4 linked regions of the Arabidopsis thaliana genome follow. The protein of the gene in region 1 interacts with the protein of each later gene in a pairwise test. Each region holds a gene or a part of one and is shown in the gene's direction. Other genes may lie near its edges. The genes, in order: AT2G28960, RAC6, AT3G28220 and AT4G38690.

Region 1 (9,942 bases):
GATAGCATTAACTATCATAAACAATAGAAATCAATAGCATATATGGAAAGCCAAAAACAATTATGTGGTAATAAGTGAAAGATTGAGTGAGGTACCATCACTTAGGCTTGTTTCCAACTGTGGGAATTCGATAATAGTGTAAGCCTCAAGAGCGTTGATCAAAGGTGGAAGGGTTGAATTCGGAGTTCTTACGAGCTGTAAATTGCAACCATCTGAATCACATTGCACTGGTCCACTTGTGAAAAATGTAAGTAGCTCTAACTTGGTAGGACTAAAAGCTGAATAATTAAAGTTTCCTTTGAAAACAATGTCGAATTCCCTCGTCTCGTTGGCTGCAAGGGTTTGTATCTCAGCGAAATGAAGATAGAAGTAAACTTCAGCGTTAGAGGGTCTTGGTTTCCAAGTTATGATTAGCGGTGCACTAGCGTTTTTAGGCGTGGCAGCACTTTTGAGTGCAGCTTTTGGTATCTCAAATGTATCTGAATTGTTTATATTGAGACTAGTCGTTATATAGCTAAACGAAGAGCTGAAGAATGGATACCAGACACGATCATAGGAGTCATCATCATACCTGCAAATAAATTGCATTAGGCAGCATAATTAAGCAAATCAATCCTTGTTATTTGTTAAAACCGATTTAAATAGAAAAAAAATAGCTGACACACACAAATCTAATCTCAATGCAAACTACATTTATTTCATACACGAATCATTTTTGTTTACATGTTTAAAAAAATTGTATAACGATATGATAGTTTGATAATAAATAACAAAAAAAAAAATGTAGAAAATTGATTAAAACAAAACATGTCGTGCGGTGATAGTTGCAACTTGTTTTTTTTTATCCAAGTTAATCATGAATAACGATGTTTATATACTAACCAAAAGTACAATAATTTATGTATAAGAAAATTGATGCCATGTATGATTAATGACAGAAAACTCCCACTTATTGTTTTAAACAAAGTCAACTAATTACCTTATTTCGCTATCAGAAGTGCTGCAATGAACCCGGAAAGAGTTCCTCAGTGAGCCTGAATGCGTAAGATAAGTATCATTTCTCATTGGTCGTAGTTCTATAGATGATATTATTGGCGAGGTTGGTCCTGTTTTAACAAGACAAATATCCAAAGAGCTTGACCTCACTCTGTGTATGATCTCCTCGAATGTACCATTTTGTCTTCCTTCCATATCTATTCTTGCCCACTTATCAGGACCAAGATAGAGATCAAAGTTTGGATAAATATTAAGACCATCATAATTTCCATATATGAAGGTAACCAATATAAGATAATTTGTGCCACGAGTGACATTCAGACTAACAATTACGCTTTCCTTCCGGAAAGTATCTTAGAGTCAAATATGGTTTTCGGAATATTTTGTTGAGCTCTTTATCGACTCTACCACTTTCTCCAGTCTGGATAAATGTTGAATCTGATGTGAATGTTAATCCAGTAGATGGATCACTATAAGGAGATTCCTCAATAGGAAATCCGCAATCCAAACTGATGAAACCTGTTCAAGCATAAAAAGGATCGACGAAGTTTAAAAAAAAACTATATATAGAAGATATATCAATTTAAAGGATGGATGATCCTCGGTGAATATCTACTAAAGAGTTTATAAATTATTACCTTCTTGTTTTTGGGCGCCAACTATAACGGCAAAGGTTCCAATTATGGCCAACAAAAGATGGCTCATCATCTTCTTGGAAAGCTAATATGGAAATCAAGAACATAAAAAAGACTTGCTTAGTGAAAACAAGGAGCTACGTAAATGAGAAATACCTCACATACACAGATTGGAAGGAATAATACATTAAAGAAAGTCAACTTAAGCCAGACATGAAGATTGAATAATTGCGAGAATTGCTTTATTTTTGGTTTATTGTGTGAATTTCTTTGACATGTTCCAACCCCAACTTGTGTTTAAAATAATAGGTTATGATCATAAGACTCCGACATGTATAGGAATTTCCTTGTATTAAGGTTTGTATATGTCTTCTTTAAACCCTTGACCAAACATAATAAATCTTCGATTGATCGTTAGACTTGGAGCACAAGGATATAACAAGGTTTGATTTAAGTAATTAGTTTGAACCCGGTCGTTACAAAAAAGGATTTACTACATATGAAAAACAATTACATATTACAACCTATTTGAAACATTACGTCTGATTCACATAAAGAAACATTACGTCTGATCCACAATAATTATAGACGTAACTTATGTAACTTGTTGTAGAATAATTATGTAAAAGAGAGAATTCGTATATTACAACATGGACAGGAAAAAATAAAGATAAAGATCATTTTGTTTGATTCAATGATTTGCTTCTTACAAACTCAGGTATTTATACAAATAATGTGCATCAAGGTAGCCAGTACTAAATTTTAAAAATATATTTACAACCACACTTTAACTATTACAAACTTGTTAAAAAAGCAACAATAAAAAATAAGAATTATCACATAATTAATATTTTTATATAGTTAACACATACAGTTTCCGATTGTCAAAGCTCCATTAAAAAAGCAAATTGTGAACCAAGTGGATAATGGTCCAGTAGCGTTTGGAAATGATCTTTCCAAAATAAGGTTTGATCTCTTTTCCCACTAAATCCCACCTAACAAGGGATATTAACAAAGGTTGATGTAGAATTTCTTGGTTGACAATGTATAGTAATACTGAGAATATGAGCTATAACTATAAGAGGCCAGCTATCTCTTAACGTCTATGAGTAAGCCATAGATAGATAATGCATATACAGGCAAACAAAACGAATATTAGGGTTTGTCAAGAAAAGACTAATCTTAGTTTATTTTTGAAGACCAAGAATTTTACATTATTGCAGAGGTATTGCGATTATAATTGAGTGAAAGTCAACAAAATGTATTAAATCCACCAAGTTGTTGTTAAGTACAAGTCGTTAGCAGAATTATCATATAGTTTATAAAGCTTTGACATTAGATCAACTTGGCAGGTTTTACATTGTTTAAACAAAGATTACATCAGGTGCTTTGATTTATGATTAAATTGCTCTCTTTTTTCCACAAAGTGGAATATAAATGTATATATCTTTGTTAGACCATTCTTCAGTCGTGCTTGGATATGAATCTATAATTGGAGAGTATTCCACGCCAACATGTGTTTTGGATTTTAATTGATCTTCATCTAAAGTATTTCTATCATTTGTACTAGAAAATCAATATATTGTATCATATATTTCAGATTGTCTTTGGTTTCAAAAATTTGTATGTTAACTTAACTTGAAAATGGAAGGTCGTCGTCAACGTTTACTGGTGTTCATCTTTGGGGCTTTGGCCATTACACATCTTGTTCAAGCTCAGCCGCCTGATCAACGAGGTTTCTCTATATACCTTTTTTTAATAATTGCTTCATGTTCAGTTTTTGACACATAAAGACTTAAGGATTAGCCAAGTAGTTGAGTGTTCTTGCTCGACTGGTCGAGATCACTAACCGATTTCTACTTTGTTGTACGCATAGCCACCATGAAAATAATATTAACGATTACAGATATAAGAGATTTGGTTAAAGAAAATAAAGGATTCTCTGTTTTCCAAAACTTTTGATTGTCTTCCTTATAAGCTTCATGGTCTAACAAAAGGAAAACATTATTTTTCACTAATAATACATTTTGTATCTTGCCAGGATTCATCAGTTTGGATTGCGGTTTACCCGTTAATGAGTCTCCTTATACCGACCCACGAACCGGATTAACATTCTCATCTGATGCTGATTTTATTTTAAGTGGTTTACGTGGTGAAGCTGGGGATGATAACACATATATCTACAGGCAGTACAAGGATTTGAGATATTTTCCCGATGGAATACGAAACTGCTATAATCTGAAAGTAGAGCAAGGCATCAACTATTTGATAAGAGCAGGGTTCGGATATGGAAATTATGATGGTCTTAATGTATATCCCAAATTTGATTTACATGTTGGGCCTAACATGTGGATTGCGGTTGATTTGGAATTCGGAAAAGATCGTGAGATCATTTACATGACAACGTCGAACTTATTGCAGATTTGTCTTGTCAAAACAGGATCAACTATACCAATGATATCAACCTTGGAACTACGGCCACTAAGAAATGATTCATATTTGACTCAATTCGGTCCCTTAGACCTCATCTACCGGCGGGCCTATAGTAGCAATTCTACCGGTTTTATACGGTATGTAAACTCAACTTTAGCAACTCTTTTATAAAAAAAAACAATCTAACATGATTCATTTACTTTTGCATGGCTACTCCAAAAATGGTTTTAGGTATCCTGATGATATTTTTGATCGCAAATGGGACCGATATAATGAATTTGAAACGGATGTGAACACCACCCTCAACGTGAGATCCTCGAGTCCCTTTCAAGTACCAGAAGCTGTAAGTAGGATGGGAATCACGCCCGAAAATGCCAGCTTGCCATTGAGATTTTACGTGTCTCTAGATGACGACAGTGACAAGGTTAACGTGTACTTTCACTTTGCCGAAATCCAAGCTTTGAGGGGCAATGAGACTAGAGAATTCGACATTGAATTGGAAGAAGATATTATTCAGTCAGCATATAGTCCTACGATGTTACAATCAGATACCAAATATAACCTATCACCTCACAAATGTAGCTCCGGGTTGTGCTACTTGAAACTCGTTAGAACTCCAAGGTCAACTCTTCCACCGCTGATTAGTGCTATTGAGGCTTTCAAGGTTGTGGACTTTCCATACGCTGAAACAAATCCAAATGACGGTACGCCACTATTCCATTCTCTATTCTGTAAGAAAGGGCTTATTTGCAAAAAAAAAAAAAACAATCACAAAATTGGGGGAAAAATAATGGTCACAAAACGGAGAAAATATTCATGTGTTTATCGTGTTTAATTTGAAATATTGTACTACCATGTTAAAAATTGTGTTATGAAATATGACATGATATTTGTTAAAAATAGCGCGATAAATGAACCAACTTAATCTTTTTTTTTTTTGCAAATAATAGGGTGGAATTTTTGTTTATTTAGTACATACCCTCATTAAGAAACTTTAATCTTTTATATGCTAATTCTTGGCTTCCTCCTCGAACCATTATGTTAGTCGCTGCTATGAAGGATATCGAAGCATTTTATGGATTGAAGATGATTAGTTGGCAAGGAGATCCTTGTGTCCCTGAACTATTAAAGTGGGAAGATCTAAAATGCAGCTACACAAATAAGTCTACTCCTCCAAGAATTATTTCTTTGTACGATCATTATATATCTCATAAGCATATTGAAACCTAAATCTCTTAAGTCTTAAGTATCTTATATCTGAAAAAATGTTCTTATATTGTGAACAGAGATTTGTCATCACGAGGGTTAAAAGGGGTCATTGCGCCTGCCTTCCAAAATTTGACCGAGCTTCGAAAACTGTAAGAGCTATTAGTATTTTACTTAAACGCGATCCATGAGAAAACATTTATATTGTGACCAACATATTTCTAATTTTTCACATCTTATAACAAATTGGACGAAAAAAAATATCTCATCTCATACTATTTTTTTATTTATCCTATTAACGGAAAATAGATTGACTTTTTAACGTTTTATAAATACTAGAGACTTGTCAAATAATAGTTTTACTGGAGGAGTGCCCGAGTTTCTAGCCAGCATGAAGTCATTATCGATCATGTAAGTTGATATAAACAAACATAATGGCCGGCCACTTATATTTCACTAGGTATACTTGTTGTCACTTTACATTGACATTGTAATTTTGTGTTTACCTTGACAGAAATTTAAATTGGAATGACCTTACGGGTCCTCTTCCTAAATTGCTTCTTGATAGAGAAAAGAATGGGCTTAAGCTAACGTAAGATTTTCACCCTTCTTTTTTTTTTATCAACTTTCCTCAACCTATAGTCTTATTCAACAACACTTATTTTCTTAAGGATCCAAGGAAACCCAAAGTTGTGTAACGATGCGTCATGCAAAAATAATAACAATCAAACGTACATTGTACCAGTTGTTGCGTCAGTAGCTTCTGTGCTCATCATTATAGCCGTACTGATTCTCATTCTTGTTTTCAAAAAGAGAAGGCCAACGCAAGGTACATAATTATACAATGAGATATATATTCTTATCGTAACATGCATGCATGATGATGACATACCAAAAGATGCCTAATCTCATGGAACTTTTTGGTTGTGACAGTTGATTCATTACCTACAGTGCAACATGGGTTACCAAATAGACCGTCTATATTTACTCAAACGAAAAGGTTCACTTATTCAGAGGTAGAAGCATTAACAGATAATTTTGAAAGAGTTCTTGGAGAAGGAGGGTTTGGGGTAGTGTATCATGGTATTTTAAATGGTACGCAACCAATAGCTGTTAAACTACTCTCTCAATCATCAGTACAAGGCTATAAGGAATTCAAAGCTGAGGTATGTTAATACATAATACATGGAATATATTGTAACATGTGATGGCTCTTAAATTTGTTTGGACATGGGTGGTCAGGTTGAACTTCTTTTGAGAGTGCACCACGTCAATTTGGTTAGTTTGGTTGGATATTGTGATGAAGAAAGCAACTTGGCCCTGCTTTATGAGTATGCACCGAACGGAGACTTAAAACAACATCTATCAGGTATAAATTTGAATTTCCCACATTTTAAAATAGTGATTACTTAGCCATATTTTAATGTTCATGCTTTTATAACATTACTAAAAGTTTCTTAATTATAGGAGAACGGGGTGGCTCTCCATTGAAGTGGTCAAGTAGACTAAAAATTGTCGTCGAAACTGCGCAAGGTTCGTTCTTAGCTCAAATGCATTAATCACTTTATATGGATCATCTAACATGAACAATTTAATTATATAAATATAGGATTAGAATACTTGCATACGGGTTGCAAACCTCCAATGGTACATCGTGATGTAAAAACAACAAATATACTTTTAGACGAACACTTCCAAGCAAAACTCGCCGATTTTGGCCTTTCAAGATCATTTCCAGTTGGAGGTGAAACTCATGTTTCAACAGCTGTTGCTGGAACTCCTGGATATTTGGATCCCGAGTAAGTTTTACATCACCAAACTAGTTTGATTCAAATTGTTTTTCCTCATTCATTTGAAAAAAAAAATACTTCATGTTTTGTTTGTAGATATTATCGAACAAATAGGTTGAACGAAAAGAGTGATGTATATAGCTTTGGGATTGTATTATTGGAGATCATCACAAGTCGACCTGTGATTCAGCAAACCCGAGAGAAGCCGCACATAGCAGCATGGGTGGGATACATGCTTACTAAGGGAGATATTGAGAACGTTGTGGATCCAAGACTCAATAGAGATTATGAGCCTACTTCTGTTTGGAAGGCTCTTGAGATAGCAATGTCTTGCGTGAATCCTTCTTCGGAGAAAAGACCAACCATGTCTCAAGTTACTAATGAACTAAAGCAATGTCTAACATTAGAAAACTCAAAGCGAGGAGTGAGAGAAGACATGGGATCAAGAAGTTCTGTTGAAATGAGCACAAGCTTTACAACCGAAATTAACCCAAAAGCACGATAACTTGTGCCAAAAAAAATCCCATGGTTATTAAGGATTTTGGATTTCCCTGACTTACTTTACAAAAATATAATTTTTGGTGGTCATTTATTTGTACGACTTCATTGTATTTACTTGTGATTGTGGTCGTATGTGATATTAGTGTGGATGTTTTGTTTGGTTTGGTTTGGTTTGGTTTTATGTTGGTTGTGGCCTTGTGTGTGTTTTGGCGGTGATCCATCATAAATGATTCTTTTGCAAATCTCTGATGATTTTTTTCATCGGATTATGGTATTTTTATTGTTTATATATGCTCACTGATCCAAAATATGTTGTCATTGTTTATGTTACATGCTTCCCTAACTCCTTTTGTAATTGATCAAAAACTTTTGTTTGATAATTATCAAGTTTTGGACTAGTTCTTTTGGTCCATGGACTACAAATCTGCTTCCATCTAATGTTTCTCTGGACCAGTCTCATAATTATACATTTGTTGTTCACATAGTACATCTCCATAATATCATATATTTGACTTTCGGTATGAAATCTTTGTATATATATAGGTTGGACCAAGAAGTTAGGATTCATAATCATAAAAAGTAAGAAAGACGACTAGTTCACGACTCACATCAAATTCCAAAGTATAATTTTCTTCGTAAAATGAAAGTTATATTAGATGAAAATCTTGCAGGTCCATTGGATATCAATTCACGAGATATGTAAACATACCTATATTAATATCACATTATTTTGATTGTATTTGTATAAGTTTTCGCCTACTCACATGCCATGATTTTGCATAAGCTGTTTTTTTTTTTTTGCATAAGCTTATCAGGCTAGTTACGGTCACATTAGTTACTAGAACATTCAACATATATAATTTTCCATAGCAGGATCCGGGTTCCATGTTTGTAAGAGGATTAATGAGAGCATATTTATTTTGATTTCTTTCTATTAATGCGAAAACGGTTATGTGTGTGAACAAGTTGAAAATGGTTGGTTCAGTTTATAGCAACGTCTTCTGCCTATTCAATGTCTCTTTACCAACAAAAAACTTGAATATTTTCTTTTTCTTATCATATAAGCATTACGTTAAACGTCAGAACGAAAATGCACTATGTGAGAAAGTGTTATTCGCAATTTGAAAGCTTTAATGTTTCCAAAACAAAACTGTTAACTTAGTTTTTTTTTAAAAGGTCTATATCAGTTTCTTGTTTGCTGTAAACAGTTAGCCAGTCAAAATATCTGAAACAATAACAGAACTGATCACTAATAACAATAAAATAGAATGAATGATATAATTGTTAAAGCTATCTATGTTAGAGTCAGATATGATTTGGTGTAATCACATGGTGAGACACAGTTTCATAGGGTGGGGACTACCGCATTGGATTCGTAAAACCTCTACGAAGAAAATTTTCACGATTTGGGTACGTAGCCATACGCCAATGGTCCACGTAGTTTAGTTACTTTTATGATTTGGTAAGACTTCGGATTTAAGTGTTGTCGAGATGATCACATGGGAGGTTGGAGAAGTCTTGAAGAGTAGTAGCCAGTGGTTTCACAAGCTCCAACCATTTTGGGTTTTCTTTACCAAATACAATTTCTATGTTCTATTTTCTTGCAATGGTAAAAGCTTATTATTCTTTTAAGTAGTGTTAAAAAAAACTAGAATCCAATATCTAATGTTTAATTGGAGCCTAGATACATGTAGGCGGTTTAAGTGCTTAAATAAAAAAAAAAATTTAGCTAATTTCTGATAATATTATAAAGATATTATGATTCATAATAAACTTAAAATATTTCAAAGTTTCGACGATAAATTGAAAGTTGTCTAGATCTACCTAATGTTCTTAAAGCCGTTTAATAACAAAACCACTAAACCCTAACACTTAGAAAATACTTGCTACCATATGTTGATGCATATATAACATCATATAGACCATTTAAACTTCTTTTTAAAACAATGCTTTTATGATAGAACCATGTGATTTTTCAAACTACAGTGTTCTTCCTGTTACTAAAATTACAATAGGCTCCACAACATGTTCAGCAAACATTTTTAGATGTCAAAAAAGCATTATGCTTTTAGCCATAATGAAAGAAAATAAAAGAGCCACCATTAACAAAACAGAGATATTGGCATTGTTTTGGCGCGTGCGGCTCGAGAATTCAGTATTTTTCTCAATTTGTCTTTGGATTTCAAGAAACATTAAAGTATTAACATTAGTTTCGTTTTTTAGGTGGTGAGCTTATTATGTAGTAATTTTAATGTTTCAGTTTAAACAAAGATTCACCGGTTTACATGCTCCGGTGATTACGGTAATCAAAAGGGTCCCAAAGTTATACGTCGGACAAGTACACTTGATAGGATTCCATGTGGTGGTCCCTTATGTTAGTC
Region 2 (6,868 bases), on another chromosome or scaffold:
TGGGGCATAACTATCTCGGAAGAAGATTCTACCTAACACTAAACTACATTGGTTGTTTGAGATCAATTTGATTGAAATGATTTCGTTATTGTAATAACAAATAAAAACAAGATAACTTTTAGACATTTTTAGTTTTGAACAAGATATGACAAACATTCTAATCCATAAAGACAAGCGTTTTGGTTCCTACTTCGTATCAAGAGGGCTACTTACTAAGTTACTATTTGACCTTGAGAGACGATCGTTGTGAAGGTGTTACACTAAAATATTAATTATCCACTAATGACGAACAGTGTCCTTAATTTTTTGTTGGTTTGGGGTTTTGGTTGGGTCTCTATTGGCCCATTGGGCTTATTATGAATGCTTCTAGTTTTTGTTGTTGTGTAATTTTCATCTCGGTGTCAACCTGTCAAGTCAATTGTCACCTCATGCACAAACGGTAACTTATTTGAGACGCAAAATTTACAACGGTAAGAAAATATAGACGTTAGAAAAGTAGCCGTTGAAAGAAGAAATCCGAAGCTGCCTATATAAGTGGCTCGTGCTCACTCACTTACTTCCCACAATCATTTCTTCTTCTGTATAATCGCTTACTATTCTCGTAGTTTCAGAAAGCAAAAGTCTTTTTTCTAGTTGAAAAACCAAAGAGAGAGAGAGTCAGAGAGCTCAAAGTTCATCCAAAGTTAATCGAGAGCAAGTTTCATTCCTCTCAACAAAGTTCGTCCAAGGTTTCTCGTAGTCACTAGCCGAACTCTGCTTTTAAGATTGGTAAGAATTCTTAGATGTTTCCTTACTTTTCTACGACTTATGTTGTTGATCGAAACACTTTCATGGTCTATTCTTCTCACTAAAGTTTCGTCAGTTTCAGTTTTACGCATCATACTATTTTCACTTTGTCTAAACTCACATCTTCCTCTGTTTTCTTTTTCGAGTGTTCTTGCAGGTTTCTCTCCAAGCAAATAGCTAGAAATGGAAGGCTCATCAAGCTTCACTACAACCAACGCAAAGAAAGAAAAACAGAGAGCGTTCACCCAATTTCCCCGTGATTTCATTATATACTATCATCGTAATCAAGAACTCTGCTTTGAGACTCTGCTTTAGGGTTTGGTAAGAATCTGATGTTTCTCCTTTTTGTTTGACGAATTGAGCCGTGTATTTTCTGAAACATCTTGATTTTGGGAATTGTAGTCATAATGTTAAAGAGAGTTATTATAGTGTAATTTATCTTTGAGAAATTTCTGCCATCTAAACTGTTTCTGACAATTACAGGTGAGAGAGAGAAGAGATAAATGATCCGTCACAGTCACGACAAACGATCCACGGCAACCTTTGGCGGTGATAGCGGGCTTGTTGCGCCGGGGTATCATCTTGGACTTCCAGTTGACTACTCGCCGTGATGTTCAGGGTTAGTTTCATCAATGCTCTTCTTATATGTCTCTCTCAGTCGTTACTCTGTTAAAAGCCATATAATAAATCGTAGACTTGGTGAGTTATTTGGTCGGATTTTATAGATTAACTCTCTCATTCATCCATATGTAGCTCGTGTATTTATGATTTTTATGATTTTTTGTCATTGCATATTTTCAAACTTGTTAGTAATTTTGGAATGTTGATTTGATAAAACTGATTCCAACTCCACGAATCCTGGTTTATCAAAACTGTGATTGTATCATCGTACACACATCAAATAAAAACTTTTACTTTGAACATTTTCAAATGCTAACTTTTTCCGACAAATTAATTACATGGTTTGTGAAAGATTCCCAACTCTTAACGTTTTTGTTCTCGCTGTCGCAGGTTTTCTTATCAAGGAAGGTTACGTTGACCCGAATAAGTTCATTAGCATAGACATCTTTCCTCACGAAAGGCAAATATGACCAATGTTGACATTTTACATACTCGGTAAAATATTTGTTAGTTGAGATTATTGCAATTTTTGGCAGAAAATATTACCACACTTTGTTGACATACAAATAAGTTCAGGTTTGGTCCATACACCACATTCTCACTAGCCAACATGCAAATTCAACTAACCACATTCAATATCATCAAACATCCTTGAAATTTTAACATAAATTTGGCGAGTATGCGGAAGAACTAGTGCATTACAACTTTATTGTACCGCAATTGGCTGATTGGTTTCATAAATATTGAATCATAACTTAGAGATTTTTTCACATTTGGTGAGCATCCGGAAAAACTAGTAAAAAAATGAATTAGAATAGTAAAACAAATCGTACTAGAAATTTTACAGACAGTTAAAAACACGTATAATTTTAGCCAGTGTTAATTTTTCTTATTTGCATTTTAAACAACAAAGACAAAATACATTATGTGCAACTCCTTTATTTTACTTTTTTGTATACAAGATAAATAAATTAATTTGAATATACACTAAAAAATCAAACAGAAAAAAGAAGAAGAAGTAAAATAGTAATTATTTAAAAGACAACAGAAGAAGTAAAAAAAGTAAAAAGATTGCAAAACAGTCGGAAGGTTGAATGGCTGAGATTAATCGAACGCTTCAATGGCAATTATTTCCGGCCATCACTTTCTTCTCTACTTCTTTCTTTCTCTCTCTAGTTGTTGTTCTCTCTCTCTCTCGCATCCTCCAATTCATCGTCCTCACGTTCCCTTTTGTTTATTCATCTTCCTTCCTTCTTCACATTTCTGATTTTCTCTATTTGGGGGGTTTGTTTCCACATTATACATATCTAGGGTTTTGAGATGGTTAATTGAAAGATAATGGTCGAAGTTTCGGAGGAATTGGCTTCACATTGTGGGTGTTTCTGGCTTCCTCAGGTTTAAATCTGAGGTTGATCTCTTTTGTTTTTTGGTAAATTGTGACATATTTTGGCTCGAAGAAGAAGAAGAAGAGGCAATGAGCGCATCAAGGTTCATAAAGTGCGTCACCGTTGGTGATGGAGCTGTTGGTAAAACCTGTTTGCTGATTTCTTATACCAGCAACACCTTTCCCACGGTATTCATCAATCATTCTCCCTCCTTTTTTTGATATCTGATTCATTTGATTCTGATTGTGCCATATATGAATTGGGATCCATACATACTAAAAATGTTGTATACATTTCCATTGGAACAGGATTATGTTCCGACTGTTTTCGATAACTTTAGTGCAAATGTGGTTGTTAATGGAGCCACGGTGAATCTTGGATTGTGGGATACTGCAGGTAATGAATGATGATCCAATTCATAATCCTTGGTGAGAGAGCTTTCCTTGATGAATCGGTCGAAATTATGTTTTTGGTTTATGCAGGGCAAGAGGACTATAACAGATTAAGACCTTTGAGTTACCGTGGTGCTGATGTTTTCATTCTTGCCTTCTCTCTCATTAGTAAGGCTAGTTATGAGAATGTTTCCAAGAAGGTCAGTTTCGTCCGAACTGGTCGACTATTTAACAATTGAGAGTTCCAAATTTTGATGCTTCTTTTCTTTTACAGTGGATTCCTGAGTTGAAGCACTATGCTCCTGGTGTCCCAATTGTCCTTGTTGGAACCAAACTAGGTTACTTCCTCCTCTCACATTTGTCCTTGTTTATGCATTTATTTATATATATGTCTGATTCCCATGCTTACACTGCCATTTTCCTTTTCACTTTATTAAGCTGCTCTGGTATAATATATCATGACATTAGTGGACATAAAACTTCACCTTCTCTTGATTGTGGTTAAAACTTGTACATGTTCAAGATGTATTCGTTAGGTGAAACTGAGGGTAGTTTTCAGAGAATATCATTGGTCAACAGGCTTCTTCTTGTATCTTGCACTTCTTGTGATAAAGCAACCATATCCTATAACACACGCCTTTAAGCATCCTCCAATGAAATAGCTACTGTATAGCAAGTGTATACCTTTATAAAAGACACTTGCAAGATCTTCAGTCAACTCATGATCCTGGCCTTTTTGATTGTCTAACCTTGGTTGTTGTCAGATCTTCGAGATGACAAACAGTTTTTCATCGACCATCCTGGTGCTGTCCCTATTACCACTGTTCAGGTAAGAATACAGTTATTTCCTCAGTGCAATTTTATCAGCTTTACCACCGTTAAGCATTTTCCCTCTCTGCATGGAAGGGAGAGGAGCTGAAGAAGCTAATTGGAGCGCCAGCTTACATCGAGTGCAGTTCAAAATCACAAGAGGTAAACGAATAAAAGACATCTCATGAATCATCTTTTCGGTGTTGGATTCTTCATCTTTTGATGAAAACAATGTGACTATAACTGCAGAACGTGAAGGGCGTGTTTGATGCAGCGATCAGAGTGGTCCTTCAACCTCCAAAGCAGAAGAAAAAGAAGAACAAAGCACAAAAGGCCTGCTCCATCTTGTAATAGCACTCATGGAAGTCAAGAAGCTCTTTGAGATGAGGATGACAGGGTGGTTTAAAAAAGTATCGCTTTTTCATTTTTGTTGTTGTTTTCCGTTTTCATTTGTGATCTCTTAGTTCCGTACAAAACGAATTGTGAGGTTAATTCAACTTCTATTTTAACTGATAGCCGAGAAAGCTTGTCTAGTTATTTACAAATGTTTTATCAATTGTGATAATGTTACTAATCCACTTCACATGAAAATTCCATTTCGATTTCTCATTCTATTATTATAAGAACAAGAGAGATTGAGACGAAATACTGATATTACTATATTGGTTACCAACCGCAAAGAATAACAAACAGTGTGTTCTTCTTATACAACCTTGGAATTTTAAGGCTAAACCAAAAAACTGTCTGGTCCAGAACATGGATGTCTCGACCAGATTCCTTGTTAAAAACTTCCTGCTCTTTGATGTTATCAGAACGGGACTGTGTAAGGTAAGGCGTAGACATCAGCTTCTGGTAAAAGGCGAGCACATGGCCACCCCATTGTATTGCCTACTTGCTTGATCTCATTCTCTCTATTAAGTTGTTTGCATATTTCTGTGGTGCTACTTGGCGGCTTCTTCATGGACCACCAACATTCTTCATCTTCAGAGTTAATGAGGTCTACTCTTCTCTCGATCGTGTTAGGGACCCAATTCTCAACTACGTCCAAGAATTGCAACACCATGGATGGAGGGCAATTGCATAGGCTTTTAGGAGGTTGATAAGTTTCTCGAGTAGAGGATGAGGATATCTTCTCTTTACCGTGTTTCCCTCTAAAAATGGGATCTTTCCTTTTCTCTTCTCGTGGCTTCGAAGCATGTTCTGCTGCAGAAGTGGAACAAGGATGTTGATTAACCGGCTCTCTAGTAGGAAGTTGGGACGAGTCTAACTTTATTCCCCGAGAAGGACCTGGTTTTTCTTGATCCTTATTGGTCATCATCACCTCGGGATCTTTCTGCCTTCGAATAGGCAATCGAATCCGAATGATGCTTTCTTCAAATTCATATCAACAATTTGAAGAAAGAATGTCATCAATGTCCTGATAAGGTAATTAGACCCAACAAGAATACAAGATCCTTCCCCGGGGAAGGAAGAAACACAAACAAACTCACCAGAGTCGTTGTTGTTATGTCTAACATCGAGAGGCTGCTGTTTCTCTTTCTGCTTCTCCTTGTTGTTATGTCTACCATTGAGAGGCTGCTGCTTCTCAATCCGCTTCTCGTTGTTGTTGTTATGTCTACCATTGAGAGGCTGCTGCTTCTCCATCAGCTTTTCGTTGTTGTTGTTATGTCTACCATTGAGAGGCTGCTGCTTCTCAATCCGCTTCTCGTTGTTGTTGTTATGTCTACCATCGAGAGGCTGCTGCTTCTCCACACGCTTCTCGTTGTTGTTGTTATGTCTACCATCGAGAGGCTGCTGCTTCTCCACACGCTTCTCGTTGTTGTTGTTGTTATGTCTACCATCGAGAGGCTGCTGGACCTCCTTCTGCTTCGGTAACATCTCATTGCTGTTAAGAGTGCTATCACAAGAGTTTTGGGACGTCGACTGAAGCAGCTCACGTTCTACAGTAAGGCTGCTCTTCTCCAAACAATTGACTTCACTTTCTTTTAGTTTGTGAAAAAGATCAACTTTAGCACCGTCTTCTTTACGCCGTCTCTTATGACTGCGCTTTTCGCTTCCAACTTCCTTTCCTTCCCTCTCCTTCCTCTTTTTCTCCTTCTTCTCCTTCTTCTCCTTCCTCTCCTTCTTATCTTTTTTATCCTTCTTATCACTTCTTCTATCCTTCCTCCTTTGTTCTTTCTTAGCTTTCTCCTCCACCCCCTGAATTTACACAAGCAATCAACATCAATTAGTTCACAGAACTTGCCAAATTCAATACAAAAAAACAGAAACAAGCCCTCAGATAGACCAGCCCTTAAACTCCAAACAAGTGGTGTTCGCACATTTAGTCAAATTACACATTTTGATTAGAGTAGACAATGAATGTGCTTGACTCGCATCTTTTTGATTAAAATTGCCACCTTAAGCGAACGATTAATATTGAGACATTGATTCGAATGCGTGCTTTTTGTTTACTTAAGTACAACTTAAGATCATCTTTTTCAATTAAAATCTCGCAACATTCTCTATCCCCCATCTTTCAAGCCAACAATTTTTAGTAAACCTTAGAACACAGATGATACCAGAAACTGGAAACACAAGGAAGCTGAGCATTCGAAATCTCATGAACCCGAAACCCAAAACCGAGATTTAAATGCTCAAACAAACCTTGATCGATGATACGATCACAGCCTCATCGCGGATTCCGTTTAGTACATAACCAGGTGGCGGGAACGGAAAACACCGAGACATCTTACCACACGATTACACACAAACAAAATCCAAGCAACAAAAAAAATTGGATTGCGAAGGTGAATCGGAAAATATGAAATCTCAGATCTCGCGAAACCCTAGATCGATCACGAGAGACCTCGAGTGAGTTTAAAGATGTTAGGG
Region 3 (7,530 bases), on another chromosome or scaffold:
TTTCAAATGGACCGATATAGCTATGGTTGAAGAGATGGAAGAGGTTGAGAGTGTTGTTTACAAGACACAAGTAGATGTGTGATCCTTAGAGAAAGGTTTATATGATGTGGGAGCTGAGATGGAGAGTCTAGCAGGTGAGACACGCACATGTGTGACCATATCAAGTAGCTATGGAAATGAGATTGAAGTCATCAAAGCATTTTTAAAAGGATGTGAGAAGGAGATTGGAGAGCTCAAAGCCATGAACTTTTGTAGTAAGAAAGAGATTCAATCTCGACGTTACTTCAAAAATTTTATCGGGTGTAGTTTAGTTATGGTTTGTAGTCTATGTTTTCATCTTTTAAGTATGAAAAGTTAGTATGAGTTTGTTGAGTTAAGAGTTCTGATTGTATTTTATTGGATTGAGTTTGAGTTTCAATTGAAAGTTGTTGTTTGGGTTTTACATAACACAAACATTGGGCCTTAATGGGCCAACGAAATTGGCAAGGTGAAGAAGAACAAAATGTGGGCAAAAGTTTGTTGCTCATTTAAGTCACCTATATATGCATTACAACGTACGACGTATAGTGGAGGTAGGTGAGAAAAGAATCTAAAAAGAGTTCTAGAGAAGAGAGATAAAAGAGCTTCCTAAACAAGCTTTCTTCTTCCTCTTTGTTGTTCTTGAATCTTTGTTCTTCTTGAGTGCAAATCTGTAAAACCAAAAGACATCATCACAAGTTAGTGAAGCTTGGGAGCAAGAGATCTCCCCCGAGACCCCGAGACGTAGCGGTTGAGGCCGTGAACTCGGTTACCAATTTCTGTGTCTGTTTATTTTCTTACCAAGCAATCTCTATCACTCTTTTCTCCACAAAAGTAATGAATAAATAACATAATAATGTTGTATATAACATACCAAACCCGAGGCAATTACAAGACAAAAACCATTATCCTACAAATTAAAAATTCAAGACAAATAGCCAAAAACCATAATCTATATCTTGAAGCCGAGATCATAGTCAAAACCATCATCCCATCATGTTACACATAAATCCGATAATCCAAATTAAAACCATCATCCTGAACATCATAAGTTTCCCAAACCAAAAGCTTTTACACAATTAATCACTAAGTGAAATTTGTGATACTTGATTCGGACCTTGATAAGAATGAAAGTGTAATCCTTTGTATTTCTTATCTATCAATCCAATTACAAAGAATCAAAACCCTAATCGATAAGCTTGAAGTTACAGTTCTCCAATCTTATCTCCTAAGAACAGAGCACATGCATAAGCCCTAATTCTACTCACAACATCAATATGATCACGAAGGATGCTTTTCTCTCTACTCTCTCTTAGACTCTTACTATTTATAAGTTTCTTCACACGTGACTCCGATCTCTCACTTCAGTTCTCACACGTGCCAACTTCTCATGAACGTATCAGACCTTCACCAAGTTGTTTTGTGGCCGACTTTTAGCTTGGATTCCAACATTAAAAATGTCATTCTCATCATCACCTCCTCTAACATCATTTCCATCATCACAAACTCGAGCATTCTCACCATTGACGTTTTCACAAGCTCTTTTCATCATTACATTCTTCAAGAATCTATTCCTTCTCCGTAAATATAACAACCGCTTTTGTCCACTTTGCAGCTAGACACATTCTCTCGAAAATATCATCTCTAGTATACAACGGTTCAGCTCTATAAACTTCTCAAAAGGAAGCTTATACCGTATCCTTTGCCCAAACAAAGACAATCCCACCGACTCCATCATGTTATTAAAAAAATTTTCTTGCATGCACACAAGTGTGTGAATCTGGCCTCCATCATATGTAAAAACATTACCGTCTGTACAAACAAAAAAAACTATTTTTGGCGAAAAAATTATCGTCGAAATATTGTTGGTAGGAAAAACACAATTTTATTTTGTTAACTTTAAACATTAAAAAAATAAGGATATATGGTTATTAAAAATTAAAAGAGAGTAATGAAAATGAATTACATGAAAGGGTAGAATTAAAAATGAGTAGCATTGGAAGGTCATTCCTAATAATTTATTTATTATAAATTCTAGATATTTATAAAATAAAAACTCAAATATTATTATATATTATACTATAAATTAATAAAAAATATTTTCTACAAATAAAAACATTTTTTAAAAATTAATTATTAAGCATTTAATCGATAGTTTTGATACGTATATAATAAAATATAGTTTTTAGTCTTTGTATTGATTACTGAAGTTCTACATTATAGCTAAAGCTAAAGCTAAATCCAAAAACAGAGGCTAGGATCGGAACAGAAGAACAAAACTATGTTGTGGTGTAGAGCGTTTGGGTCCATTTCTTGTTGTTAGCTAAAGCTATGTCTGGAGTGTTTGACGTTACATGCTAAATTTAGGTACAACTTAAACTTTTGTCTTTTTCTTGAAAACACGTGTTGAACAAATCTTTTCTGGTCGATAACTCAAGAAATCTTATCTGGTCGCAATCCATCTTATACCGACGTGAAATCTCAAGACACGTGAATATATAACTTGTTCATAATAACATTATCACTTTTATCGAACGCACAAAAGATCCTCCGCTATAAATATTTGTGGTGAAGAACTCTTTATACCAAACAAAAAAAGCTAAATACCAAATAAATGTTGGTACTCATCATACATATATAACTAACTCACCTTTTTGGTGTGTAGATAAATATATCTAACTAACTCCATTACATATTCCAGTCATTTGCTTATAAATTATAACCGTCACACTTACCAATTCAGTCACTTAACCAAACATGTCTGAAAAGGGGTTGATAAAAAAAGAAGACCACATGTTTCAAGAGGAGAAGAGAAAGACAAACTATGGAGCAATTGGCTTGGCTTGCTTCATTTCTTGTTTCTTTGCATTCCAATTCATGAAAATCGTAACAACACAACCTTCAACAACAACAACATCATCCATTGCCGTTATCGATAGCCCAATGTCCTCCCATAAGCTATCTGATAGGAGAGAAATATGGAGAGTTATCCCACCATCTACCTATTGTCTCAAAATCGAATCTTTCATAAAATTCGCCACTTCTCCAAACGCCGAGAAGTACGAATCCCGTCCTTTTGAATCCGGTGGATACAACTGGTAAGTAGTATTTTATCCTACATTTTGCATATGTCTTTGCATCACAAATTTTCAACGACACATTTGATTGTAAGACTATATATCCTTTTGCAAACAGGACACTTATTGTCTATCCTAAAGGAAACATTAAGGAAGGAGCTCCACTTAATTACGTTTCAATGTACGTCCAAATAGACAATTCAACACTCCTTAACTCTCCAAAAGAAGTTTACGCAGAAGTCAAATTCTTCATTTATAACCGGAAAGAGGACAAGTACTTAACATATCAAGGTATATACATCCGAACGCCCTATTTATATCTTATTTATAAACTATATTGTATTAATCAAATTTTCAACGTTTAAATTTAAAACAATTGAGACGCTGATAGTTTGCATAGTTTCAAATGCCAAAATTTGCATTTAAAAACACACAATCTCAAACGCATGTCTTGGTACACAGAGACGGATGCAAAACGCTTTTTTCTGTTCAAACCATATTGGGGATATGGTAATGTTAGACCCTACACCGACGTGGCTAATCCCAATGCTGGTTGGCTTTTCGACGGTGACAATGTTTTATTCGGTGTGGACGTATTTGTCACTGAAGTTTTTAACAAATGGGAAGTGTTCTCATTCACTAAGAGTTTGCATGACCGCCTTTACAAATGGACGTTACCCAATTTCTCGTCACTAGAGAAACAGTACTATGTCTCTGACAAGTTCGTGATCGGTGGGAGAAGCTGGTGAGTTCCTCATGTCATAAATTCTTTAAGCCACATATTGATACTTAGTCCTGGATGTTCGGTTATCCATTCCGTTATCGGTTTTTTCGGTTCTAAAGTTATTATCTATTTGGTTATTTTGAAATTTCGGTTTGGTTCTTTCGGTTTTAAATTTAGTATCCATTCCGTTATTTTGATTTGAATATTTTCGGATATTTTAATTATTTTTGGATATTTCGGTTATTTTTGGATATTTTTGATTATTTTTGAATATTTTAACTATTTTATATATATTTTTAATTATTTAGTTTAAAAATAACTAATATTTTTAATTATTTAGTTTAAAAATAACTAATATTTTTGGAAATATATTTATATTTCAGATATTTTGGTTATCCGGGATATTTTGGTACGTAGCCATTTAGTTTCGGTTCTTTCGGTTCTTTCGGTTATATATAGAATTTAGTATCCATTTGATTATTTTTTAATTTTTGATTCCGTTCGATTCTGTTATTTTGTTTCGATTTTAGTTCGGTACATTCGATTAGGTTTATTTGCGCAGGCTTACTAATACTGATTCAAGAAAAAATTAACTATTTACAATATTTTAATATACAACTCTTAGGGCTTTGAAAGTGTATCCAAGTGGCGATGGCGAAGGACAGGGTAACTCGTTGTCGTTATATGTTGTTGCGGTTGATGTTAAGCCGTATGACAAGATTTACCTAAAAGCTAAGCTACGGATTATAAACCAGAGAGATTCTAAACACATGGAGAAGAAAGGTAAATTATATCGAACCATAATAGTGTGGCTAATGTTACTTACTCTATTAATTTTTTTCTTTTAGAGTTTAATTAACACTAACTTAATGACAGTTGAAAGCTGGTCGGATCAAGCAAACAGTTGGGGATTCCAGAAGTTTGTACCATTTGCTGATCTTAAGGATACTTCTAAAGGTCTTCTTGTGAATGATACATTGAAGATGGAGATTGAATTTGAAGATTTCTCTAACACAAAATACTTTCCAAGTTAAGTTTTGCATAATGCAAAACCAGAGAGCTTGGAACCAATTGTGTTCTGTTTTTTAAGTGTTTTTGTGCTAATAATTGGAGGATTGGTCTTCCTAAGGTTTAGGAGCCTATCTCCCACTTTTCCCAATTCCCTAGTTTGTAGAAATCGTTGATTCCAAGCTAGCTTTTCTTGTACTTGTTTCCTATTTAAATAAATGAAAACTAAGAATAAAAGCAGTCTTAATTTACCATTGAAAAACTCTTGTTCTTACTTCATTCTAGCTGCGACTAAGACTAACACTAACCGTGGAATAACACTTCTAAAATCAACCGAATAAGTTTGCGCGTATGATAGTAATTTGAAATAATAACAAGCTTTGCGCACCAACAATAAACATCGATCATGTTCTTAAGTTTCACGAGTGCTTCTTTGTTATTTGCTCTCTTTCATCTGTTTGTTACTCTATTATTTCTCTGGTTATGTAGTGTATATAATACATATAGATCTACCAAGCAATTCATAATGTATAATATATCTGCCATGTATACTCTATGTAAATTAAGCTATGTAACCAATCCATACTCTTCTTTCATTGTATTTTTAACAATCATCAATAAGCAAATCAAAATTACCAATATCTAATACAACTCGTTCCTTTTAGGAAATAAATAAGAAGCAAAGAAAATACTCTCTACTAGTTGATGAAGGCTTGGAAGGGAGATGACAAAACGTACGTAGCAAATCAAAGAGGAAAATCCAACCCTATCCACACAGTTTTTGGCTCTTTGCTTGCATCACAAGTCACAAAGACACATTGATTCTAAAACCATTCATTTGGAAACAGAACACTTATTGATTATCCTAAAGGAAACTAAAGAAGGGAGCTCCAACTCTGGATGGTTTTAACTTTACGTCCAAATAGACAATTCAAGATTCCTTAACTATCCTAAAGAAGTTTAGGTTAATAAAAAAGTTTTGCTCTTCCTACAATCTCTAGTGTTATCAAAATCTCATAAAAAAATTGTAGACAAAATAAAAATAAAAAATATAAGCCGCTGATGTTAAGCCCTACGACAAGATTTACATAAAAGTTAAGCTACAAATCCTCAGCCAAAACGATTCTAAACATGTATAGAGAAGAAAGGTAAATAATATCAGAAACATAACAGTTTGAGTAATTACTGCTTACTTTGTTAAGTTGCCCTTTTCCGTAATCTTATTCGCATTCGAAGCTTGTCGGTTGGAGGCGAGGAAGGGATCCGATGCAGCCAATGCGGGAGAGCAAACCTGGAGAAACATGGGTTAAAGAGGTGTTCAAACGGGCTCCAGTCTCCAGCAAAGCTCATAATGCGACCATCGCTACTATATTCCAACTTCTTGTGACGCCGAAACTTGCCTTTGAGCAAGCTAGTAGATACTAAACATTTATGCATCTCACTCCACAAATACATTTTATTAGCATCAAAAGGGTTTATTGCCAACGGAAAGTAATCTAAACCACTCTTGATACAAGCCGGAGATATTTCAGATACTATTTCCCATTTCCCACTCTTTAACCTCCATACACATAACTTAAGCCCTAAACTTCCATCATCTTTTTCTTCATTGATAATTTTCATATACATAAGAGATCCTTGGGATGTTGTGAAAGCTCTTCTAAAATACACATCGTTTTCTAGATGAGGGAACTCTATAACTCTGCATTGATCAGATTCCGTACCAGTAGCATATAAATTGTGGGATACAACAAGGTGATCACGATAGTTGTTGTAGCAAAGCCAGTAAAGGTTTCCATTCAAGCTAACAGGATTGAACCAAGCAACACGCTTCAAAAGATAAGGAGATTGGACAGTGTTGAAACTCCATAGGCCTGTCTCAGATGAATATATGAGTAAGCTAATGTCGTCGGTATCGGTGGTATCTTTCATCAGAACAACTTTGTAACCTAAAACGACGCCGTTTTCTATTCGTGTTGCAAGTCCAGAAGGTTTGTATATATCAGCTCTTCGAGGCAGACGAGGAAGAGGAGGTCACATTGTCGTGAAATTGGATTAGCAACATAGTAGGTCTGTTTCAAACTAACCAAAATCAATCCTACATCAGTGTAAGCCTCGACAGTAACCTTTTCCTTGTGGATTCCGAATTTGTGTGTTAGGAAAGAAGAGATGTAAGAGCCTAAAGATTGTGTAAGTCCCCAAGTGTCGCATCTGTAGTGAGCAATGACTTCTTTATGAGTTTCTCTGCACATGAGTGACCATGAAGGATGCGAGTCTTGATGATGAGACATAAAAAGTTCGTGTAGATATTGAGATTCGACTATTGATTTCCATTCCTTGCAAACCAAGGTGAAAGCTGTGATGCTCTTTAGTGGTAATCTCGCTAATATATTTACCACGAGATCTTCTGTGTAGTAATCTATCTTCTTCTTCTTCGTTCCTGACTCCATTGATTTAGGTTTTAGATCGGGCTAGGTTTACTCTGTTTCAGAGACTAACTAACCCTAAGAATATAGATATATACAAATAAATTTGTTTCATGTCGGCAAGGATTCTTGTGACAAAAGGAAATAACTCTTCGGTAAAGAACTAAATGGAAAAATAGAAGACGAATGAGTCAAAGGCTCATTAAAAGTTGGGCTTATTTACATAATAATGGGCCTTTCTCTTGGCCCAATAAATTTAAAACCCAATTAGGGTTTC
Region 4 (6,672 bases), on another chromosome or scaffold:
TGGTTCTGAATCGGATACCTGGGGAAGAAGAAGAGAAGAAAGCGGTGCTGCTAATGGCTCGCCACCACCGAGCGGTGGTTCACGCCCAAGATTGGTGTTACAGCCACGTACACTTCCCGTGGCCGTTGTGGAGGTCGTGAAGCCGGAGAGTCCGGTCTTGGTCATTGTGGAGAAACCTAAAGGTGCTAATCCTTTTGGGAACGCAAGACCTAGAGAGGAAGTTCTGGCTGAGAAAGGCCAGGATTGGAAAGAGATTGACGAGAAGCTCGAGGCTGAAAAGCTTAAGGACATTGCTGCAGCCATGGAGAAGCCTAATGAGAAATCTACAGGGAAGATGGGCTTTGGTCTTGGCAATGGCCGTAAAGACGAGGAACGTATTGAAAGAAGTTGGAGGAAAAGGTATATATCTTCTTTGACTATAATAAAACTTGGTTGATTCGTTTCTTTAGTTTGCCTGCTTGTTTTCTGATTATACCATCTTAGTCGGGCAAAGTATTGATCTCTTACTGTCTGTGGAAATTATTGACATGGGTCTAAGAAATTGTGTATATTGTGGGAGATAGGGATTCATATATATGCTATAAACAGTGAGATTTTGGATGATCATTCATGTGTTATGGATCACTGCATTAGTATAGTAGTTAATATGTTAAATTTGGTGTTATTAGTTTTTCTCTACATTCATACATGGAAGTTGATGTCTTGAAGTGAAGCTGAAAGATTGGATCTCTCTTTCTGTTTTGTTTTTTTGATCTGGCATCCCATGTTTAGAGAGCTCTGTTTTTCTCTTTCTGCGTGATGGTAATGGGTTTTTTAGTTAGTGTTGTTGAGTATTGTGGGAAGTTGTAAATTTTGTAAGCATGTTTCTTACTCTTAAATTATTTTGTCTTTGAACATTGAAGCACGGAGCATTCTGAGGAGGATGCTCAAGAGGAGGAACCAGCTGTAGAAGGGGCAAAGAAGGAAGAGACTGAGGACAAACCGGCTGTAGAAGAGGCTAAGAAGGAAGAAACTGAGGGTGAACAGGCTGTAGAAGAGGCTAAGAAGGAAGAGACTGGTGGCGAACCGGCTGTAGAAGAGGCAAAGAAGGAAGAGACGGAGGACAAAATCTAAAGAGTCAAAAGGCATTTTTGTGGATTGTGATAGTTTGGGTTCTTGAAGTTTAGCTTCTGAGAATTTGTGTTGTTTAATTTGGATAAGTTAAGTTGTGTGGGGGAACTCTAGAGAAAATTTTGGTAGGGTCTTTTTTTTTATAATATCTCTCTGTCTCTTTTTTTTACCACATACTCTGTTGCAATTTTTAGGGTTTTGGGGTGTCTTTTATTTTTTACGAGTTGTACAATTTCATTATTGGTTTAAATCTGTCTTTGAATTTGGGAGCGTTTAGTTGATCAGTGATCAATGGTGCGTAGAGAGAGTGATGTTTGTTATTAAGAGCCCAATTGGCCCAACTTAACCCGACCCAGTATCAGATCTGGCCCGTATTCTATAATCTTCTTGATCGGTGCAGTCCACTTAAGATATATGTGGTGAGGAATAAATCCAACCTGTACAAACACACAGAATGTAGTGGGACGGGGAATATGATAATACCACGCGCTTTAGAGCTGGGAATATATTAAAATTGATCAAAAATAGGCATTTTGGCTGGACTATATAGCTTACCCATTTTGATAACACGCGCTCAACGCTCCTAAGGTGCGCGTGGTACATATCCTTACCTCGAATAAAGTTTATGCTAGTTATTTGGCAGAATCTCAAAGCTTTTTAGAATCATAATTTTCTAAAATAATTAAATCTCTTTACATGTTTTCAAAGTTGTCAAACACTATTACAATTTTGAACATATCATCAATATCAGACAGAAAATTTTCAAAGTTAATACCTGGATCATATGCATTTACTATTTTCTTTTTGTTATATAGAAAAATATCAAATAGATTTTCTAAATAATGACATATACCCTCTTTTTATAGGAGAAAATCTTTTTCCTGTAAACATTCCTAAAATTACAAGTGATCAAACTATATATATATATATATGTTCTAGATTCATTTGGATAGTAAACTTTCATATCAATTCCTTAAGTTTATAAATTATGAAGAGCACATTAATAATATTTTTCACACTCTGTTTGAGCATGGCCGTTATGGCGCGTCACGAATCCTACTATGGCAACACCAAACCGGCTAAACTGAATGAGGAGAAAGTGACACGTGTCAGATTTTATCTCCATGATACTCTCAGTGGCCAAAATCCTACCGCCGTTAGAATCGCACATGCAAATCTAACCGGTGGCTCAGCTTCGCCGGTAGGTTTTGGAAGCCTGTTTGTGATAGACGATCCGCTCACCGTCGGGCCGGAGAAACACTCGAAAGAGATCGGGAATGGTCAAGGGATGTATGTCTCCGGGTGCAAAGACTTGAGCAAATTCACGATCGTCATGTACGCTGATTTGGCTTTCACGGCAGGGAAGTTTAATGGAAGCTCGATCAGTATCTTCTCGAGGAATCCGGTGGCGGAAGAGGTCGGAGAGCGAGAAATCGCGATTGTTGGTGGCCGTGGGAAATTCAGAATGGCGAGAGGTTTTGTCAAAGTAAAAACAAATAAGATTGACATGAAGACTGGTGATGCTGTTCTCCGATATGATGCTACTGTTTATCATTATTAACCGATTCATATGTTCCGATTAAAACAATAAAAAGGCCAACTAAATCAATTATTCAGATCAAAACTGAATTTTGCATGATCAAGAGATCAAAATTGATTAATTATGTTGCAATCTTTCTTCTCAATTCCCAAAATCTATACTAGTAATCTCTTTTACATATCTTAGTTGTGTGGATCGTGATATTTGAGATAGTCTTACAAAAGACATGATAGGGCCTGTGAGTGTATATGATTGGTTTTCCATCGGATCCTATCCGAATTTTATCCAAAATATTAATTATCGATGCCTTGTTTAAATTTTAGGAACGACTTTTATTTCATAGAAAATTTGAATATGTGTCTTCCAAGAAATAAAAATCACGTTGTATTGATATCTTTCACGTCGGAAAATAGCCAGGCATTAGAAATTGACAAATAACAAACAGTGAAGACAGCTATACAACAAAAATGGACCTACCATACATTGTAAACCCACTCTCCCATCAATTACAACTCAACCACTCTTTCAATATATCTCAACTAATCAATCAGTTCACATTTATAACACTAAAATGTTCCCACAATAAAAATTGTAACAGTTAATCTTACATATTAAACGCTACTACTTTTTTTCTATGGTTTTTGTTAAGTTAAAAGTTGAAAGTTACTTCTAATTTGCGAATATGTCAACGGTGTTTTGAGAAAGTAGCGTAATTATTAAAAGATTAACGTATAATTCGTAACTTCTTCAAACCAATAATAAGTAAATAAAAAACAATCATAACGACTTATGAGTAAAGGTTTATTGATAAAGAAGGCATGGAACATTTTATAAACAAGAGAGAACAGAATTCAATATAGTGATCAGAGAAGAGAGAGCAAAGGGAAAGGGTTAATCCTCAGCAATGGGCTCTCACCTTTCCAAACAACTCGAGCGGCGAAAAGCCATCTCCACGGAGAAGAAAGCCCTCACCGATCTCGAGAAATCGTGCGGCTGCGAGTTTCCGGGGTGTGATTACATGCCTTCCGATCGTAAAAACTGGATGGCCGGCGTTGGACCTGAAAAGCTTCACATCAACAAGATCGTCTGGCCTGGGACGCACGACTCTGCCACCAACAAAATCGGTATCCGATTCGTGTCTCGTCCCTTTGCTAAGTGCCAATCTCTCTCCATCTATAACCAGCTCGTGGCGGGTACTCGAGTCCTTGACATTCGTGTCCAAGAAGATCGCCGTGTATGCCACGGTATCCTCAAGACTTATAGTGTCGACGTTGTCTTGGCCGATCTCAAACGGTTTCTATCCGAAACAGAGTCGGAGATTGTCATTCTTGAGATCAGAACAGAGTTTGGACACGAAGACCCACCGGAGTTTGATAAGTATCTTGTGGAACAGCTTGGAGAGCATCTGATTCACCAGGACGATCACGTGTTCTCCAAGACAGTCGCTGAGCTGCTTCCCAAGAGAGTGATCTGCGTTTGGAAACCGAGGAAATCGCCTCAGCCTAAGCATGGTGATCCTCTTTGGAGCGCTGGTTACCTTAAAGACAATTGGATCGATACAGATCTTCCATCGACCAAATTCGAGAGCAACATCAAGCATTTGAGCCAGCAGCAACCAGCTACTTCAAGGAAATTCTTTTACCGGGTGGAGAACACAGTGACGCCGCAGCCCGATAACCCAATAATGTGTGTAAAACCGGTGACTAAGAGGATACATTGCTACGCCAAGGTATTCATCATAGAGTGTGTAAAAAGAGGATGTGCTGATAAACTGCAGATATTCTCAACTGATTTCATAGATAATGAATTTGTTGATGCTTGCGTTGGGCTCACCTTTGCGAGAGCTGAAGGTAAGGCCTGAGGAATGAGCGTGTGGAGACAGACTTTGTGTATCTATTTTGAAGGAAAAGAATCAGAACATGGTTGATGTGTTTTAGGGTTGCTTGTGTATAAGAGAACATGTGAGTGTGTATTTGTATGTGTGTGTGATTTACGAGTGTATATTCCAATTCATTACAACTTATTTGAATCCTGATACAATTGCGAGATATCCAAACTCTTCATTACTATTAATTTCTGATACTTTTGCAGATGTTGTAGTTGATAGACAGGCAAAACAGAAGGAAGAAGTATACAGTTGATGGTAAAATCTAGTTTTAACAAGTGAAAGAGAGCTGCTAACCTGAGAGATGACTATATTTCTGCAGCAATGCCCCTTTTTATTACACACTACTGTGATCTTCAAGAACAAAAAGATAATAGAATCAGTTATGCTAGAATTCATATCAGTAGCTAATGACACAATGCATCTCTATAATTTCATTATTTGATTATATCTATAAACTGAGATGATGGAAACATGGTGCAAAATCCTAATAATTTGAGATTAGATTTCTTCTCAAGACTTGAAACACAAAAGAAGAAGAAGAAGAGCATTTGATCCACAAGAGTGATTGAGCCGAGCCAAATTATTCTCCCTGCTGAGATCGGCAGCGAGACCACTCTTCTAGACTCTAGACATGGGATGCAGAGAAACCAACTTTTTTTATTTAAACGGCTGCGTTTTAAGTCATGTTCTCAAATGATACCAGTTTTTTTTTTTTTTTTTTTTTTGCTAAGCACAAGTTTGATTTGTTGTTTGGCACTTTACGATAACATCATTTTACTCCTATACTTTCTCACGGTAAGTGATTAAGATAAAAACATGCACATTTTTCGAATTATAAGCTAAATTTAAAGGGATCTATTTTCTATCTCTCAATAATTTTTAAATTTTACTCATTTTCTATTTCTCTTATAAATTAATTACTTGGTAATTTAGTTTTGTAATCGATACTCAAAAATCGATATCCAACAAAGGACAATCTCTTTGCGGTCAATAGTCTTCTCAAATTACTTCATACAATTATCATACTGTTTGGTAAAATTTGTGAATCTGCCTCATAAAATGTACGTGGAAAGTGGAACAACAGTTAATGCTTATTTTGACCACAAGATTGAGAAAATTTTGAAAAGAGTATATTGACCAGTTGCTGACGTTGCATGTCATTCTTTAATGTTGTTGTTGACTGCAACAAAAAATAAAATACAACATACAAAGTAAAAAAATAAAAATAAATTAATTGATCTTTGTTTCTCTATTCCCCAGAGAGCTAGCTTTTCAGATCTAAAATCAGAATCTGACGGCTGATATCCCTCGTGAAAAACACCCCAACCGTCCAGATGCAACTGCTTGCTGGGCCAATGATCCATTCTCTTTCCCGAAATGGATTAATCAATTTAAGCCTTATCACATGCTGGCCCATTTTCTAACTCCTCTTTTCTTTTTTAACTTACTTTTCTTTCTTTTAATATTTTAGTTGCAGATTCATTTTCGAAATCAACGAAATTTATGTTTTTTTAATTTTCTGGGTATCTTAATCGCGAGATTTTTTATTTTAATATCACGCTCGAATATACAATTCGGAATGTGCAGATGTTTTTTTTGAAGGCAATTTAGAAAAATAGACAAAAATCGAACAAACATATATAGAAATAGAGATCTAAATAAAAACATTTATTTTATTTCCTCTTGGAAACAAGGAAAAAATGAATTGGGGTGGGTGACGTGGCAGTCATACCCTTGCCACACCCTTCCTATACGCATATAAACAGCAGCTGCGAGGAGAGAGAGATTTCAGAGTATTTTCTAGGGTTTCGTTTTTTTTAAAGATTTAGAGAAAAAAGTGAGTTATTAAGAGATTCCAATCAAAATGAGCGGAGACAACGGCGGTGGTGAGAGGCGCAAAGGCTCCGTCAAGTGGTTTGATACCCAGAAGGGTTTCGGCTTCATCACTCCTGACGACGGTGGCGACGATCTCTTCGTTCACCAGTCCTCCATCAGATCTGAGGGTTTCCGTAGCCTCGCTGCCGAAGAAGCCGTAGAGTTCGAGGTTGAGATCGACAACAACAACCGTCCCAAGGCCATCGATGTTTCTGGACCCGACGGCGCTCCCGTCCAAGGAAACAGCGGTGGTGGTTCA

The links.
Region 2: the proteins of AT2G28960 (region 1) and RAC6 interact in a protein complementation assay, tested with the Arabidopsis thaliana proteins (one large-scale study listed by BioGRID).
Region 3: the proteins of AT2G28960 (region 1) and AT3G28220 interact in a protein complementation assay, tested with the Arabidopsis thaliana proteins (one large-scale study listed by BioGRID).
Region 4: the proteins of AT2G28960 (region 1) and AT4G38690 interact in a protein complementation assay, tested with the Arabidopsis thaliana proteins (one large-scale study listed by BioGRID).

What each region holds. Positions count from the first base shown.
Region 1 is NC_003071.7:12,435,681-12,445,622, reverse strand, and holds AT2G28960 (Leucine-rich repeat protein kinase family protein), read left to right. Parts: upstream 1-3,030; 5' UTR 3,031-3,275; coding exon 3,276-3,366; intron 3,367-3,672; coding exon 3,673-4,201; intron 4,202-4,295; coding exon 4,296-4,768; intron 4,769-5,109; coding exon 5,110-5,254; intron 5,255-5,350; coding exon 5,351-5,422; intron 5,423-5,609; coding exon 5,610-5,681; intron 5,682-5,784; coding exon 5,785-5,862; intron 5,863-5,941; coding exon 5,942-6,099; intron 6,100-6,203; coding exon 6,204-6,436; intron 6,437-6,512; coding exon 6,513-6,639; intron 6,640-6,737; coding exon 6,738-6,803; intron 6,804-6,879; coding exon 6,880-7,069; intron 7,070-7,156; coding exon 7,157-7,565; 3' UTR 7,566-7,905; downstream 7,906-9,942. Other genes in the region: AT2G28970 (Leucine-rich repeat protein kinase family protein), read right to left, coding at 1-11, 96-571, 980-1,034, 1,324-1,515, 1,635-1,704.
Region 2 is NC_003075.7:17,021,528-17,028,395, reverse strand, and holds RAC6 (RAC-like 6), read left to right. Parts: upstream 1-2,529; 5' UTR 2,530-2,881; coding exon 2,882-2,980; intron 2,981-3,100; coding exon 3,101-3,188; intron 3,189-3,274; coding exon 3,275-3,384; intron 3,385-3,458; coding exon 3,459-3,522; intron 3,523-3,948; coding exon 3,949-4,013; intron 4,014-4,090; coding exon 4,091-4,156; intron 4,157-4,243; coding exon 4,244-4,345; 3' UTR 4,346-4,559; downstream 4,560-6,868. Other genes in the region: AT4G35940 (uncharacterized protein), read right to left, coding at 4,803-5,365, 5,485-6,193, 6,641-6,724. UniProt on the Arabidopsis thaliana protein: May be involved in cell polarity control during the actin-dependent tip growth of pollen tubes.
Region 3 is NC_003074.8:10,521,645-10,529,174, forward strand, and holds AT3G28220 (TRAF-like family protein), read left to right. Parts: upstream 1-2,536; 5' UTR 2,537-2,775; coding exon 2,776-3,116; intron 3,117-3,213; coding exon 3,214-3,386; intron 3,387-3,557; coding exon 3,558-3,840; intron 3,841-4,444; coding exon 4,445-4,602; intron 4,603-4,695; coding exon 4,696-4,853; 3' UTR 4,854-5,089; downstream 5,090-7,530. Other genes in the region: AT3G28216 (uncharacterized protein), read right to left, coding at 1,634-1,780; AT3G28223 (F-box family protein), read right to left, coding at 6,025-6,833, 6,911-7,277.
Region 4 is NC_003075.7:18,072,582-18,079,253, reverse strand, and holds AT4G38690 (PLC-like phosphodiesterases superfamily protein), read left to right. Parts: upstream 1-3,296; 5' UTR 3,297-3,554; coding exon 3,555-4,511; 3' UTR 4,512-4,934; downstream 4,935-6,672. Other genes in the region: AT4G38710 (glycine-rich protein), read left to right, coding at 1-399, 669-707, 903-1,113; AT4G38700 (Disease resistance-responsive (dirigent-like protein) family protein), read left to right, coding at 2,099-2,671; GRP2 (glycine rich protein 2), read left to right, coding at 6,403-6,672.